2 linked regions of the Anolis sagrei genome follow. The protein of the gene in region 1 purifies or fractionates together with the protein of each later gene. This does not show direct contact. Links are inferred from orthologs where the notes say so. Each region holds a gene or a part of one and is shown on either strand. Other genes may lie near its edges. The genes, in order: LCK and UNC119.

Region 1 (7,962 bases):
CTTTTGCTCGGTATTGCCTTAAGAGTCCAAAGGATCAGATCCTAGTTCTTTCCTTCTCTAGTCTTTAAAGTGAGATGGAGGAATCTCTGCACAAGGGCATTGTCTTGAAAAGCACATATGTAATTATAACAATTCCATTTCTGCTGCCCCACACAATTCAGCTGCCTGAAGATGGAAGAGGAGGAAGGATGGTGATTGTATTTACCTTGAAGAGGTGAACTCGGAGGAGGTGTCATTACATCGGGAGACAAAAGAGGGTTGTAAAACTCGGAGCCATTCAAAGCCGGCCTCTGTAAACAAACAAACAAATAAACACCAAATATTCTTTCATGGCCAGGTTTTCCAACAAACTGGATCTCATGCTGAAGTTATTACATCCCAGTTCTTTTTTCTCTGGTCCTCAGATTGAGATGGAGGAATCTCAGAGCAAGATTACCGCCTTGAAAAGTGTGTGCAATTATACTACATTTTCATCATTCTTTCTTTCTGATGTTCACTTTGCATGGCAAACTCTGCCTGAGTGTGGTTACCAAGCCCATTTTAAACTGAATTTTAAATGTATTAGTTGGCATGATGATTTTAATATCTTTTAATCCTTGCTCTGTGTCTTTTAATATAATAAGTTTTAATGATCTTATGTTTTATCTAGGTATTTCAACTGCGTTATACTCTGCCTTGAGCCATGAGCATAAGTGGGTAGCAGTTGTTGTTGGATTTACAAAGTCTTCAGCCTCCTCTTATGCCTCCCCAAATGACAACTCTGAGGATTACATATTATTATTATTATTATTATTATTATTATTATCATCATCATCATCATCATCATTATTTTAAACACAACAAGATTAGTACACAGCAGACAAGATCACTATGCTGATTGTTGTATTGGATCACACGTTGGACACTTCCCAAGTGTCTAGGACTATGCGGATTATCTGCTTTGATAAACTTGAATAATGTATTGTTGTTATTATTATTATTGGGTTTACAAGGTCTTCAGCCTTCTCTTGTGTCTCCCCAAACTACAACAAGGATTCCATTTCATTATTATTGCAATGTACCAAAACCAAGATTGCAAAAACATCTGTTATAGAACTCCAGTATGCTGATGATAACGTAGTCTGTGCACATTCAGAATAAGTCCTACAAGCCATTCTAAACACCTTTGCAGAAGCATACGAGTAGCTCGGCCTCTCATTGAACATCAAGAAAACAAAAGTGCTCTTTCAGCAGGCACCAGCCAATCCCTCTGCAATGCCAGAAATACAGCTTAATGGTGTAACATTAGAAAATGTTGACCATTTCCACTACCTTGGCAGCCACCTCACCACAAAAGTCAACATTGACACTGAAATACAACATCACCTGAGCTCTGCGAGTGCAGCATTTTTCCAAATGAAGCAGAGAGTGTTTGAGGATCGGGACATCTGTAGGGATACCAAGGTGCTTGTTTATAAGCCATTGTCCTCCCAACCCTGCTATATGCCTGCGAAACCTGGATTGTCTACAGACATCATACTTCCATCAGTGTTGCCTCTGAAAAATCCTGCAAATCTCTTGGGAAGACAGGCGGACAAGTGTCAGCCTATGCCATCAACTCTGCTGGACTGGCCACGTTGTCCGAATGACCGATCACCATCTCCCAAAGTAGTTACTATACACACAACTCAAGAATGGAAAATGTAATGTTGGAAGACAGGAAAAGAGATTTAAAGATTCAAAGTGCTGGCATTGGCCTTTAAAGCCCTAAACGGTTCTGGCCCAACATATCTATCCGAACGTATCTCGGCCTATCAGCCCACCAGGACCCTAAGATCTTCGGGAGAGGCCCTACTCTCCATCCCACCTGCTTCACAGGTGCGGCTGGCGGGAACGAGAGACAGGGCCTTTTCTGTGGTGGCCCCGCGGCTTTGGAATGCCCTCCCTATAGAGATAAGATCAGCCTCCTCGCTGATGGTATTTCGAAAAAAACTGAAGACATGGATGTTTGAACAAGCATTCGGCTAATCCGGTGCGATGAAGTTCATGATCAAGGACTGGCAATTCACAGACAACGAAATTGGATTATGATTTTAGTTAAGAGATGCGTTGGTCTGTATTGGTGGCCCAATACTGTGTACTGTATATGTGTTTTATGCTTTTAATCTGAATATTGTTGTTTTTAAGTGTTGTAAACCGCAATGAGTCGCCGATTTAGGCTGAGATATTAGCGGTATACAAGTGCATTAATAAATAAATAAATAAATAAATAAATAAATAAATAAATAAGATGGTCTTAAAGCCAACCTTAAAAACTGTGGCATAAACACCGAGAACTGTGAAGCCCTGGCCTTTGAGTGCTCTAACTGGAGGTCAGCTGTGACCAGCAGTGCTGAGGAATTAGAAGCATGAATGAAGTGAGAAGGGGAGAAACATGCCAAAAGGAAGGCAGGTCAAACCAACTGCGACCAGGACTGCCTTCCACCTGGAAACTGATGTCCTCACTGCGGAAGAACGTGCAGGTCAAGAATAGGTCTCCGCAGCTACCTACAGACCCACAACGAAAACACTACACTTGGAGGACCATCATCCTCCAGCTACAAGGGATCGCCTAAGTAAGTAAGTATTAATAATATTAGTAATAATACTAATAATAATACTTACTTACTTAGACGATCCCTCGTAGCTGGAGGATGATGGTCCTCCAAGTGTAGTGTTTTCGTTGTGGGTCTGTAGGTAGCTACTATAAGTAGTATTAGTATTATTGGATTTGCAAGGCTTCCAGCCATCTCTTGGGTCTCCCCAAACTACAACCCTAAGGATTCCATTGCATTATTATTAATTATTATTATTGTATTTATTTGCTATATATATCCGGCTTTCTCTCTCTAAAAAGAGACCCAAAGTAGCTAACAACACTAAAAATAATAATGTTTTCATGATAGCACCAACTAGAAAATTATATTTATAACACAATAATGTTACGTTGTGTTATTAGCCATAGCATCCTGGCTGGGTCTGCCAAGCCTGGAGCCATCGCAGTCCAGGTGGTACCAAACTGCATTAACTCTCCAGTGCAGTTGCAAAACCTCTCACCTGGGGCTTGGTGTCTGGGTCGATGGGATAGTGACAGGTCTGACAGATCTCCAGGTCCCCTTCCTCCCAGCCCTCATCACAGTCCAAACTGCAGCAGCAGCCCATGCTTCTGGTGCACGACAGGAACGCAAGGGACACTGAGGCCCAGCTCCCTGCGCAAGCTTTTGTCTTCTGCAAAAAAGAAAGAGACGATATTGGAAAATCAAGAGGACTTTCAAGAGGTTCCCCAAAAGGCCTGATCAGAGCCAAGGAACAGAGACCACTTGGGTGTGATCCTGGATTCATCGCTGAGCCTGGAACCTCAGGTCTCAGCGGTGACCAGGGGAGTATTTGCACAGTTAAAACTTGTGCGCCAGCTGTGCCCATACCTTGGGAAGTCTGACTTGGCCACAGTAGTCCACGCTCTGGTTATATCCCGTATAGACTACTGCAACGTGCTCTACGTGGGGTTGCCTTTGAAGACGGTCCAGAAGCTTCAACTAGTCCAACGAACGGCAGCCAGGTTGCTAACAGGAGCGGCCCTCTTGTTGCGCCAGCTCCACTGGCTGCCGGTTTGCTACTGGGCCCAATTCAAAGTGCTGGCTTTGGCCTTTAAAGCCCTAAATGGTTCTGGTCCAATTTACCTGTCCAAAAGCATCTCCCCTTATGAACCTTCAAGGACCCTGAGGTCATCTGGGGAGGCCTTGCTCTCAGTCCTGCCTTCGACACAAGCACATCTGGCGGGGATAAGAGACAGGGCCTTCTCAGTGGTGGCCCCTCAGCTATGAAACACCCTCCCTAGGGAGATCAGATCGGCTCTCTCCCTACTAATGTTTCGGAGGCAAGTTAAAACATGGCTATTCAAGCAAGCGTTTACAAATACAGAGTAAATGACATAGAAAATTGAATGACTTGATGACGGAATTGGACAATGCTTGATAATAAGGAGACGCTAATGATGTTGTTATTATTGTTGTTTTATACTGTTTTAATGTTTTAACTTGTTTTGTGATATTATATGTACTGTTTTGTTGGAAACCACCTTGAGTCGCCGATTGCCTGAGAAAGGCGGTATACAAATACAGTAAACAAACAAACAAACAAATAAATATCAAACAGGTCATCCACATTATCCGCTTTGAATTGGATTATACAAGTCTACACTGCAATACAATCCAGTTCAAAGCAGATCAGATTTACATGGCAGTGCAGATGGGGCCCCAGTTCAAAGCAGATAATCTGGATTTTATATGGCAGTTCAGATGGGGCATCATATAATCCAGTTCAAAACAGATCATGACCCCTTTTACACTGCCATATAAAATCAAGATTGTCTGCTTTGAACTGGATTATATGGCAGTGTAGACTCATATAATCCACTTCAAAGCAAATAATGTGGATTATCTGCTTTGATAAACTGGGTTATATGGAAGTCTAGAAGGAGCCAATGTTGATTTTATATGGTAGTGTAGGAAGGGTCTCATATAATCTAGTTCAAAGCAGATGTGGTTTATCTGCATTTATAAAGTGGATTATATGGCAGTGTAAAAGGAGCCTTAGAAACAATTTGCAAACTTGCATCACATTGCAGAAGCAGTGAAATCAATCACATTTTGTCCTCCAAATCTGAGGGCTAAAGTGATGTCAATGCAGTGACCAAGAGGAAACCCACAATCTCAGCCACAAACTCATAAACCTTGACATTCTAAATATACTCGCTTGGCGACCTGGCAATGACCGGGTTATTTGAAAAGGGCATTTGACGGCTGGGTTTTTTCTTGGCTGGCTTCAGTGCTCTCTGGAGAAGGGTGAACTACAACTCCTATGTGCCAAGGTCAATCATCCCGAAACCCTGCCAGTATTCACAATTGGCCATGTTGGGTCTGTGTGCCAAGTTTGGTCAAGATCCGTCATTGGCTGGGTTCAGGGCTCTCTGGATAAAGGTGAACTACAACTCCCATATGCAGAGGACAATCACCCTCAAACCAGGCCTGTATACACAGAGGGCCATGTTGGGTCTGTGTGCCAAGTTTGGTCCAGATCTGACATCGGCTAGGTTCAGTGCTCTCTGGATAAGGATGAACTACAACTCTCAGATCCAAGGTCAATCACTCCCAAAATAAGGGAAACCAGGACTGTGTTTGGAACAAAGTGGGAAAATGGGGTGAAATTAGGACTTTTTTTCAGCGATAAGATGAGTATTCCAATTGGTATTTGCCAAATTGTGACCATTGCAATGTATAGCATTACACACTGATATGATACAGCCTGCATTATTATATACCAAGGACTCACTTCTTAATATTTTGTAATCTGTTTAATGAATATTTAGAGGCACTGAACCCCTTATTTGGAATTCTGAACTCATCCAAAATTCAAAATTGTCCAAATGACATTATTATAATCCTTAATCATTAATTTATATTTATATTTTTACATTTATTATATGTATTATTATTAAATGTGTTCTTATTATTATGCAAAAACTTTGCTTTCTGATGGTTCAGAGGACACTGACTTGACTCCATGCACAAAATCATTAAAAATACGGCGTATAAAATAACCTATAGACTATAATAGCATATAAAATGTATATGAAACACAAAAGAATGACATGTTTAGTCTTATGTCCCATCTCCAAGATAATCACAATTCATATATATACATATCTATATTTATATGGATATGCAAATGTAGAGATCCCTAAACCTGAGGGGGAAATATCCCAAATACTTTTGCTCCCAACCATTTCAGAGACTCAACATTTATACAGTAATTAGAATATTGCAGCAAATTAATTGAAATAGTAGGGCACACGGCTTTGTCACTTTCTCTGATTATGAAAAATAATTAAAATTAACATTATAACATTAATGTTAAGACCAAGCCAGGGGGAGTTGTGTCATGTGTTACGTATTTTAATAGGTTTTTCGTGAATTTAGTTCATTCTTTTTAGTAGTCCTGGGTTTAGTTTTAGTGTTTATATGCTTTAGATTTGTAATTGAACAATACATTGTTTTCATTTCAGTATTTATTGGGTTGCTGTGAGTTTTCTGAGGTGTATGACCATGTTCTAGAAGCATTCTCTCCTAACGTTTCGCCTGCATCTATGGCAGGCATCCTCAGAGGTTGTGATGTCTGTTGGAAACTAGGCAAGTGGGATTTATATATCTGTGGAACGTCCAGGGTGGGAGAAAGAACTCTTGTCTGATTGAGGCAAGTGTGAATGCTGCAATTGATCACCTTGATTAGCATTGAATGGCCTTGCAGCTTCAAAGCCAGACTGCTTCCTACCTGGGGGAATCTGTTCGGAGGTGTTAGCTGGCCCTGTCAGGAATTCCCATTTATGAGTGTTGTTCTTTATTCACTGTCCTGATTTTAGATTTTTTTTTAAACACTGGTAGCCATATTTTGTTCAATCTATTGTCGAAGGCTTTCATGGCTGGAATCATTGGGTTGTTGTTGGTTTTTTCGAGCTATATGGCCATGTTCTAGAGGCATTTTCTCCTGACGTTTCGCCTGCATCTATGGCAAGCATCCTCAGAGGTAGTGAGTTCTGCTGGAACTAGGAAAAAGGGGTTTTTATATCTGTGGAATGACCAGGGTGGGACAAAGGACTCTTGTCTGTTGGAGCTAGGTGTGAAAGTTTCAACTGACTACCATGATTAGCATTTGATTGCCTGGCAGTTCCTGGGGCAATCTTTTGTTGAGAGGTGATTAGATGTCCTTGTTTGTTTCCACTCTGTTGTTGTGCTCTACATAGGGACCACCAAACGCAGCGCTCAAACACGAATCAAGGAACATGAAAGGCACTGCAGACTACTTCAACCAGAGAAGTCAGACATAGCAGAGCACCTGATGAACCAACCTGGACATAGCATATTATTTGAGAACACAGAAATATTGGACCACTCCAACAACCACCATGTCAGACTACACAGAGACGCCATTGAAATCCACAAGCATGTGGACAATTTCAACATAAAGGAGGAAACATGAAAATGAACACAATCTGGCTACCAGTATTAAAAAACTCTAAAATTATAACAGCAAAATAACAGAGAGGAAACAAACAAGGACATCTCAACAAAAGATTGCTCCAGGCACTGCCAGGCAATCAAATGCTAATCATGGTAGTCAGTTGAAACATTCACACCTAGCTCCAACAGACAAGAGTCCTTTGTCGAACCCTGGTCATTCCACAGATATAAAAAAACCCTTTTCCTAGTTCCAACAGACCTCACTACCTCTGAGGATGCTTGCCATAGATGCAGGCGAAACGTCAGGAGAAAATGCCTCTAGAACATGGCCATATAGCCCGGAAAAACCTACAACAACCCATATTTTGTTCATTTTAATAGTTTCCTCCCTTCTGTAGAAATTGTCCGCATGCTTGCGGATTTCAAGCTTTTGTATGTTGTGTTTCCAGTCTTTGTGACACTCAGAAATACTTCCCTCTCTCCTTTTCATATTGTTTTTCAACGTTTATCCCATCTGAGTGTTGGAAAGACTCTGGAAACACAACATAACAAAAGCTTGCAACCTAGTAACAGACACATTGCATGCACTACCTCTGAGGGGGCTTGCCATGCACTACCTCTGAGGAGGCAGGCAAAACGTCAGGAGAGAATGCCTCTAGACCATGGCCATAAAGCCCGAAAAAACCTACAACAACGCAGTGATTCCGGCCATGAAAGCCTTCGACAATACATTGAACATTGCATGCTGTTTGCTGCCTTTGCAAATGGCTACAGAAATAATACAAACACAGCGGAAGCAAATGGGTTTCGAAGTAGTTTTTAACAATGGCATTGGGTTCTGCATCGCTCGAACCAAACTTTGTGGAATTCTGTTGTTTTGACCTTTGCTGTGCCCATTGTGGGAAAACATCCCATTTCCTGTTCAGGG
Region 2 (8,218 bases), on another chromosome or scaffold:
TTCCCCTTGAGCCAAAAGTCATTCATTTCTGCAAAGTCCCCTATTATCCATAGTGTTGTTGATCCATAATACGTCCGCTTTAGGCATTGTGCAGGTCCTTCCATGTAACTATACGTTCTCCTTGAGCCGAAAGTCATTCATTTCAGCAGAGTTCTCTATTATCCATGGTGTTGTTGATCCATAATACGTCCGCTTTAGGCATTGTGTAGGTCCATCCATGTAACTATACGTTCTCCTTGAGCCGAAAGTCATTCGTTTCAGCAGAGTTCTCTATTATCCATGGTGTTGTTGATCCATAATACGTCCCCTCTAGGCATTGTGTAGGTCCTTCCATGTAACTACGTTCTCCTTGAGCCGAAAGTCATTAGTTTCAGCAGAGTTCTCTATTATCCATGGTGTTGTTGATCCATAATATGTCCGCTTTAGGCATTGTGTAGGTCCTTCCATGTAACTATACGTTCTCCTTGAGCCGAAAGTCATTCGTTTCAGCAGAGTTCTCTATTATCCATGGTGTTGTTGATCCATAATATGTCCCCTCTAGGCATTGTGCAGGTCCTTCCGTGCAACTATATGTTCTCCTTGAGCCGTAAGTCATTTGTTTCAGCAGTTCCCTATTATCCACGGTGTTGTTGATCTATAATACGTCCTCCCCTAGGTTCCAATGGTCTGAAAGAGGTCCTTCCTAGGCCTTTGCTTGGTCCTGTGGTGCCAGGCGGTGGTCTAGTCATTCATTCTGGGTTTCTCCCTGCTTTGATGCAGGTCTACCATGCGGTGGGGTCTGCGGAGGAGGCCCTGCGGGAACTGGAGGCCGGGCGCCTGGAGGCGGCCTTCCTGGCCAGCAAGGCGGCCGTCACATCCTCGGAGCGGGCCTTCTTCCACCCTTCGCTCCTCCACCTCCTCTACTTCCCCGACGACCAGAAGTTTGCCATTTACATCCCGCTCTTCCTCCCTATGGCCGTCCCCATCCTCCTCTCCATGGCCAAGATCCTGCGGGAGAGCCGGGCCACCAAAAAGGAGCCGGGCAAAGTGGACTGAGCGCCAGAGGCCGGCTGGCTGTCCTTTGCACAGCAGCTCCCAGCATCCCCCAATGGACAGGTCGGAAGGAAACAAAATTCTTCCAAAAAGTCACTTCTTTGGTGCCCCAAAAGTCCGTCTCCTGAAAGCAACTTTCCGGCTATCATCACGTCTCCCTCCTTGCATTTTATTTATTTATTCGGGTTGATTTTGCACTTGGGTTTGAAATAAAAGACAATTGGGTGTAAAAGGAAATATATTCACATTTGTGTTGATTCCAAGTATCTAGGACAAGGTTCTTCAAACTAAGGCCCAAGGGCCGAATACGGTCCTCCAAGGTCATTTACCTGGCCCTTGTTCAGGGTCAACCTAAGTCTGAAACAACTTGAAAGCACCCAAAAACAACAACAACAACAGCAATCCTATCTCACCAGCCAAAAGCAAGCCCACACTTCCCATTGATATACTAATAAGTTTATACTTGCTTAAATTGTTCTTCATTTTAATTATTGTATTGTTTTTAAGTGTTTTTTGCACTACAAATAAGGTATGTGTAGTGTGCATTCATTCATGTTTTTTTCAAATGATAATCTGGCCCTCCAACAGTTGGAGGGACTGTGACCTGGCCCTCCGGTTAAAAAGTTTGAGGACACCTGATCTAAGAGGTTGTGTGCATCACCTCCTTCCTCTGCATTTTTGTCCCCTTGTTGAACCTTTGTTTATCTATTATTAGTCGTATTATTGTTGTTGTTATTATTATTATTATTATTATTATTATTATTATTATTTATTAGCATGTCCACAATAACACAGCGCACATTAACTCCAAGTGTCTGGGCTTCATCTCTGAATATCAGACTCTTCCCAAGGGCCTAGAGTATTAGAAATTATTATTGTTTATTATTAGACTGCCTTTTCTAGATGTCTTAGTTATCCGCAAACCAGATCAACAATTGGGTCACACCGTCTACAGAAAACACACACACACAGATAGAGATCTACATCAAAACTCCATCACCCAAGTCAAAAAAGAAGCCCCATTAAAGCCTTGGCAGACCGTGCAAAAATAATCTGGGAAGCCCACCTCCTCCAAGATGAACTGAACCCCCTCAACTGGGCTCTCCAGGCCAATGGATACTCCACCTCAGACATCAGAAGAGCTGCAAGACCAAGAACAAGCCACGAGAGTCAAGATGAAGATCCACCCAGAGGAAAAGTGTTCCTGCCATACATCAAGGGAACCACTGACCGCATTGGGAAGCTGATGAGGAAACACAACATACAAACAATCTACAAACCCACCAAGAAAATCCAACAAATGCTACGTTCAGCAAAGGACAAGAGGGATCCTCTCACCTCTGCAGGAGTCTACCGTATACCATGCAGCTGTGGACAAGTCTACAGAGGGACCACCAAATGCAGCATTGCCCAGACACGCATCAAGGAACACAAAAGGCACTGCAGACTACTTCAACCAGAGAAGTCAGTCATAGTGGAGCACCTGATGAACCAGCCTGGACACAGCATATTATTTGAGAACACAGAAATGCTGGACCACTCCAACAACCACCATGTCAGACTACACAGAGAAGCCATTGAACGCCACAAGCATGTGGACAATTTCAACAGGAAGGAAGAGACCATGAAAATGAACAAAATCTGGCTACCAGTATTAAAAAACTCTAAAATTACAACAGCAAAACAGCAGAGAGGAAACAACCAGGCACATCTTAACACCTCTCAACAAAAGATTTTCCCAGGCTCAGCCAGGCCTTCAAATGCTAATGAAGGTGGTCAGTTGAAACATTCACACCTAGTTCCAGCAGACAAAAGTCCTTTGTCCCACACCAGCCATTCCACAGATATATAAACCCATTGTCCTATTTCCAACAGACCTCACTACCTCTGAGGATGCTTGCCATAGATGCAGGCGAAACATCAGGAGAAATGTTCTCTTGCCTTGCTTGGCACTCTGCACATGCTCAGAGGACATATTCCCAAGCCCCTTCCCTCCTTGCATGTCCAACTTTTCCCAGCCAGGAAGCCCCTCCTCCCTTTTCTGATTCCTCTTGCCTTGCGTGGCACTCTGCTCATGCTCAGAGGACACATTCCCAAGCTCCTCCCCTGTCTGCATGTCTGTCTCTTCCCCCAGCATCCCTTTTCCCAGCCAGGAGGCTCCTCCTTCTTTTTCTCCTTCCTCTTGCCTTGCTTGGCACTCTGCACATGCTCAGGGGACACATTCCCAAGCCCCTCCCCGCCTTGCATGTTCACCTCTCCCCCCAGCATCCCTTTTCCCAGCCAGGAAGCTCCTCCCTCCTTTTCTGATTCCTCTTTCCTTGCTTGGCACTCTGCACATGCTCAGGGGACACATTCCCAAACCCCTCCCCTCCTTGCATGTCCATCTTTTCCCAGCCAGGAAGCCCCTCCCCCCTTTTCTGATGTCTCTTGCTTTGCTTGGCACTCTGCACATGCTCAGAGGACACATTCCCAAGCCCCTTCCCTCCTTGCATGTCCATCTCTTCCCACCCAGGAGGCTCCTCCCTCCATTCTGATTCCTCTTGCTTTGCTTGGCACTCTGCACATGCTCAGAGGAGACATTCCCAAACCCTTCTTTAATAGTTTAAATAAATAAATAAATACATTTCTTGTATGTCCATCTCTCCCCCCAGCATCCCTTTTCCCAGCCAGGAAGCCCCTCCTCCCTTTTCTGATTCCTCTTGCCTTGCTTGGCTCTCTGCACATGCTCAGGGGACACATTCCCAAGCCCCTCCCCTCCTTGCATGTCCACCTCTCCCCCCAGCATCCCTTTTCCCAGCCAGGAGACTCCTCCCTCCATTCTGATGTCTCTTGCTTTGCTTGGCACTCTGCACATACTCAGAGGAGACATTCCCAAGCCCCTCCCCTCCTTGTATGTCCACCTCTCCCCCCAGCACCACTTTTCCCAGCCAGGAAGCTCCTCCCTCCTTTTCTGATTCCTCTGGCCTTGCTTGGCACTCTGCACATGCTCAGAGGACACATTCCCAAGCCCTTTCCCTCCTTGCATGTCCATCTTTTCCCAGCCAGGAAGCCCCTCCTTCCTTTTCTGATTCCTATTGCCTTCTTTGGCACTCTGCACATGCTCAGAGGACACATTCCCAAGCCCCTCTCCTCCTTGCATGTCCATCTTTTCCCACCCAGGAGGCTCCTCCCTCCATTCTGATTTCTCTTGCCTTGCTTGGCACTCAGCACATGCTCAGAGGACACATTCCCAAACCCCTCCCTTCTTTAATGGTTTAAATAAATAAATAAATAAATTTCTTGCATGTCCATCTCTTCCCCCAGCATCCCTTTTCCCAGCCAGGAAGCCCCTCCTCCCTTTTCTGATTCCTCTTGTTTTGCTTGGCACTCTGCACGTGCTCAGGGGACACATTCCCAAGCCCCTCCCCTCCTTGCATTTTCCACCTCTCCCCCCAGCATCCCTTTTCCCAGCTAGGAAGCGCCTCCCTCCTTTTCTGATTCCTCTTGCCTGGCTTGGCACTCTGCACATGCTCAGCATCCCTTTTCCCAGCCAGGAGGGTCCTCCCTCCTTTCTGATTCCTCTGGCCTTGCTTGGCACTCTGCACATGCTCAGAGGACACATTCCCAAGCCCCTCCCCTCCTTGCATGTCCATCTCTTCCCACCCAGGAAGAGCCTGGGTAATAATCCGGCCCTCCAACAGTTGGCACTCCAATGGCACTCTGCACATGCTCAGAGGACATATTCCCAAGCCCCTCCCCTCCTTGCATGTCCAACTTTTCCCAGCCAGGAAGCTCCTCCTTCCTTTTCTGATTCCTCTTGCCTTGCTTGGCACTCTGCACATGCTCAACATCTCTTTTCCCAGCCAGGAGGCTCCTCCCTCCATTCTGATGTCTCTTGCCTTGCTTGGCACTCTGCACATGCTCAGAGGACACATTCCCAAGCCCCTCCCCTACTTGCATGTCCACCTCTCCCCCCAGCATCCCTTTTCCCAGCCAGGAAGCGCCTCCCTCCTTCTCTGATTCCTCTTGCTTTGCTTGGCACTCTGCACATGCTCAGAGGACACCCTCCCTTCTTTCCTTCCCTCCCCCCTGCCTGCTTTGGCTCCTCCCCTTTCCCCGAGGGGCGGGGCGGCGGATTTGCAGCAAAGGCGCTTAAGGGGGGATGAGCCATTCTCTCTCCTCTTCCTCCTCCTCTTCTTCCTTTGCAGATCCGCTCCCTTCTGTGACCCGAAGCAGAAGCGGCATCGTCTCCGGTGGGAAGATGAAGGTGAAGAAGGGGAGCAGCGCTGGCACCGCAGGAGGAGGAGGAATGGGCCCCGGGGGAGCGGCGGCGGCTGCCCCCCCATCTTCGGCCTCCTCCTCCTCCTCTTCCTCGGGGGCCTCTTCCTCGGCCCTTTGCAGCGAGGAGGAGCTCCTCCGCAAGGCCAGCATCAGCCCCGAGGATGTCTTGGGCCTCCCCAAGATCACCTCCGGTAAGGAAGGAAGGAAAGAAGGGTCTCCCTTGAAGCCCATCCTTTTGGGGAGAGGGTCGTCTCATTTTGGGGGGGAAATGTATTAGTTAACACAAAGCAATGGGCTTGGGAAGAAGGTCCCCCCATACCTCTCCATTTGCGCCCTGCAGATAGCAACACTAGGAAGGAAACAAGGCCCTCTTTGGGAGAGAGACAGAGGGGTGAGTTGCAAGTAATGGGGTCCCCTTTGAAGCTTATCCTTTTGGGAAAAGGTTCTTCCCCTTTTGGGGGGAAATATGGGGTACTTTATGAGCAATGGGCTTGGGAAGAGGGTCCCTCCATACCTCTCCATTTGCGCCTTGCAGATATGAACTAGGAAGGAAACAAGGCCCTCTTTGGGAGAGAGACAGAGGGGCGAGTTGCAAATAATGGGGTCCCCTTTGAAGCTTATCCTTTTAGGGAAAGGCTCATCCCCATTTGGGGGGAAAATATGGGGTACTTTGTGAGCAATGGGCTTGAGAAGAGGGTCCCCCCCCCCACCTCTCCATTTGCACCTTGCTGATATCAACAAGGAAGGAAACAAGGCCTTCTTTGGGGGAGAGAGAAAGGAGTGAGTTGCAAATAATGGGGTCCCCCTTGAAGCTCATCCTTTGAGGAAAAGGCTCATCCCCATTTGGGGCGGAAATAAAGGGAAATTTGCAAGCAATAGGCTTGGCAAGAGGGTCCCCCCAAACCTCTCCATTTGCACCTTGCAGATATCAACTAGGAAGCAAACAAGGCCCTCTTTTGGAGAGACAGAGGGGTGAATTGCAAGTAATTGGGTCCCCATTGAAGCTCATCCTTTTAGGAAACGTTTCATCTCCTTTTTGGGGGGAATATATTAGATAATTTCAAGAAATGGGCTTCGGAAGAGGGTCCCCCCAAACCTCTCCATTTGCGCCCTGCAGATATCAACACTAGGAAGGACTCAAGGCCCTCTTTGGGAGAGAGAGAGAGGAGTGAGTTGCAAGTAATGGGGTCCCCTTTGAAGCTCATCCTTTTAGAGAAAGGCTCATCCCCATTTGGGGCGGAAATAAAGGGAAATTTGCAAGCAATAGGCTTGGCAAGAGGGTCCCCCCAAACCTCTCCATTTGCACCCTGCAGATATCAACACTAGGAAGGACTCAAGGCCCTCTTTGGGAGAGAGAGAGAGGAGTGAGTTGCAAGTAATGGGGTCCCCTTTGAAGCTCATCCTTTTAGAGAAAGGCTCATCCCCATTTGGGGCGGAAATAAAGGGAAATTTGCAAGCAATAGGCTTGGCAAGAGGGTCCCCCCAAACCTCTCCATTTGCACCCTGCAGATATCAACACTAGGAAGGAAACAAGACCCTCTTTTGGAGAGACAGAGGGGTGAATTGCAAGTAATGGGGTCCCTGTTGAAGCTCATCCTTTTAGTAAAAGGTTCATGTCCTTTTTGGGGGGAAATATATTAGTTAACTTCAAGAAATAGGCTTGGGAAGAGGGTCCCCCCAAACCTCTCCATTTGCATCCTGCAGATATCAACACTAGAGAGGAAACAGGGCCCTCTTTTGGGGGGGATAAAGGGGTGTATGCAATCAATGAGGTCTTTTGGAGAGAGAGGGGGGGAAATGCAAGTAATGGAATCTCCCTTGAAGCTCATCCTTTTGGGAGCAGGATAGTCTCATTTTGGGAGGGAAAGAAAGAAATTTGCAAGTATTTGGCTTTGGAAGAGCCCCCCCCCCCCCCAAGCTCTACATTTGCGCCCTGCAGATATATCAACACTGGGAAGGAAACAGGACCCTCTTTTGGAGAGAGAGAGGGATGAATGGCAAGTAATGGGGTTCCCTTTGAAGCACATCCTTTTGGTAGCAGGATAGCCTCATTTTGGGGGGGAAATATATTAGATAACTGCAAGCAATGGGCTTCGGAGGAGGGTCCCCCCAAATCTCTCCATTTGTGTTTCAGTTATAACACTAGGAAGGAAATAGGGCCCTCTTCTGGAGAGACAAAGGGGTGGGTTGCAAGTGACAGGGTCCCCTTTGAAGCTCATCCTTTGGGGAAAGGTTCATCTCCTTTGGTGGGGGGGGGGGGGGTAATTGCAAGCAATAGGCTTGGGAAGAGGGTCCCCCCAAACCTCTCAATTTGCCTTGCAATTATCAACACTAGGAAAGAAACAGGGCCCTCTTTTGGGGGGATAAGAGGGTGAAGTGCAAGCACTGGAATGTCCTTTGAAGCTCATCCCTTTGGGAGAAGGATTGAGTCATTTTGAAGGAGAAAAAAGGGGAAATTTGCAAGCAATGGGTTCAGGAAGAGGGTCCTCCCAAACCTTTCCATTTCCACCTGGCAGTTATCAACTCTAGGAAGGAAGGAAGGCCTTCCTTTGGGGGTGGGGGGATAAAGGGATGTATTGCAAGCAAAGGAGTTCACTAAAAGGCCCCCTTTAAACCTCTTCCATTTGGGAGACAGGGCCCCCAAAAACCTCTCCGTTTTGGGAGATATACCTTCTCTTTTGGGGGGAGATCAAGGGGCAGATTGTGTGCTGTGGACTTTAGAGGAAGGGTTCTCTTTCAAGCTGTCCATTAGGAAGAAGTATCCTTTTTCGGGTGGCGAATTGCGTGGAACGGGCTTCACTTGAGGGTACCCTTTAAAGCTCTCCACTTGGGGGAAGGGTCTTATTTTTGGGGGTGTAATGAAGGGGTGAATGCAAATGGGTTTCGTGCAAGGATCACCTCGAAAGCTTTTCCATTTGTGAGAAGG

The links.
Region 2: the proteins of LCK (region 1) and UNC119 purify together in Homo sapiens (affinity purification with western blotting; 3 studies listed by BioGRID and IntAct, with this or other methods). This does not show direct contact. The link is inferred for Anolis sagrei from reciprocal best matches to the Homo sapiens genes LCK and UNC119.

What each region holds. Positions count from the first base shown.
Region 1 is NC_090034.1:83,356,962-83,364,923, forward strand, and holds the start of LCK (tyrosine-protein kinase Lck), read right to left. Parts: upstream 3,241-7,962; 5' UTR 3,181-3,240; coding exon 3,076-3,180; intron 291-3,075; coding exon 206-290; intron 1-205. UniProt on the Homo sapiens protein: Non-receptor tyrosine-protein kinase that plays an essential role in the selection and maturation of developing T-cells in the thymus and in the function of mature T-cells. Plays a key role in T-cell antigen receptor (TCR)-linked signal transduction pathways.
Region 2 is NC_090031.1:31,976,574-31,984,791, forward strand, and holds the start of UNC119 (protein unc-119 homolog A), read left to right. Parts: upstream 1-4,882; 5' UTR 4,883-5,173; coding exon 5,174-5,483; intron 5,484-8,218. Other genes in the region: PIGS (GPI transamidase component PIG-S), read left to right, coding at 760-1,035. UniProt on the Homo sapiens protein: Involved in synaptic functions in photoreceptor cells, the signal transduction in immune cells as a Src family kinase activator, endosome recycling, the uptake of bacteria and endocytosis, protein trafficking in sensory neurons and as lipid-binding chaperone with specificity for a diverse subset of myristoylated proteins.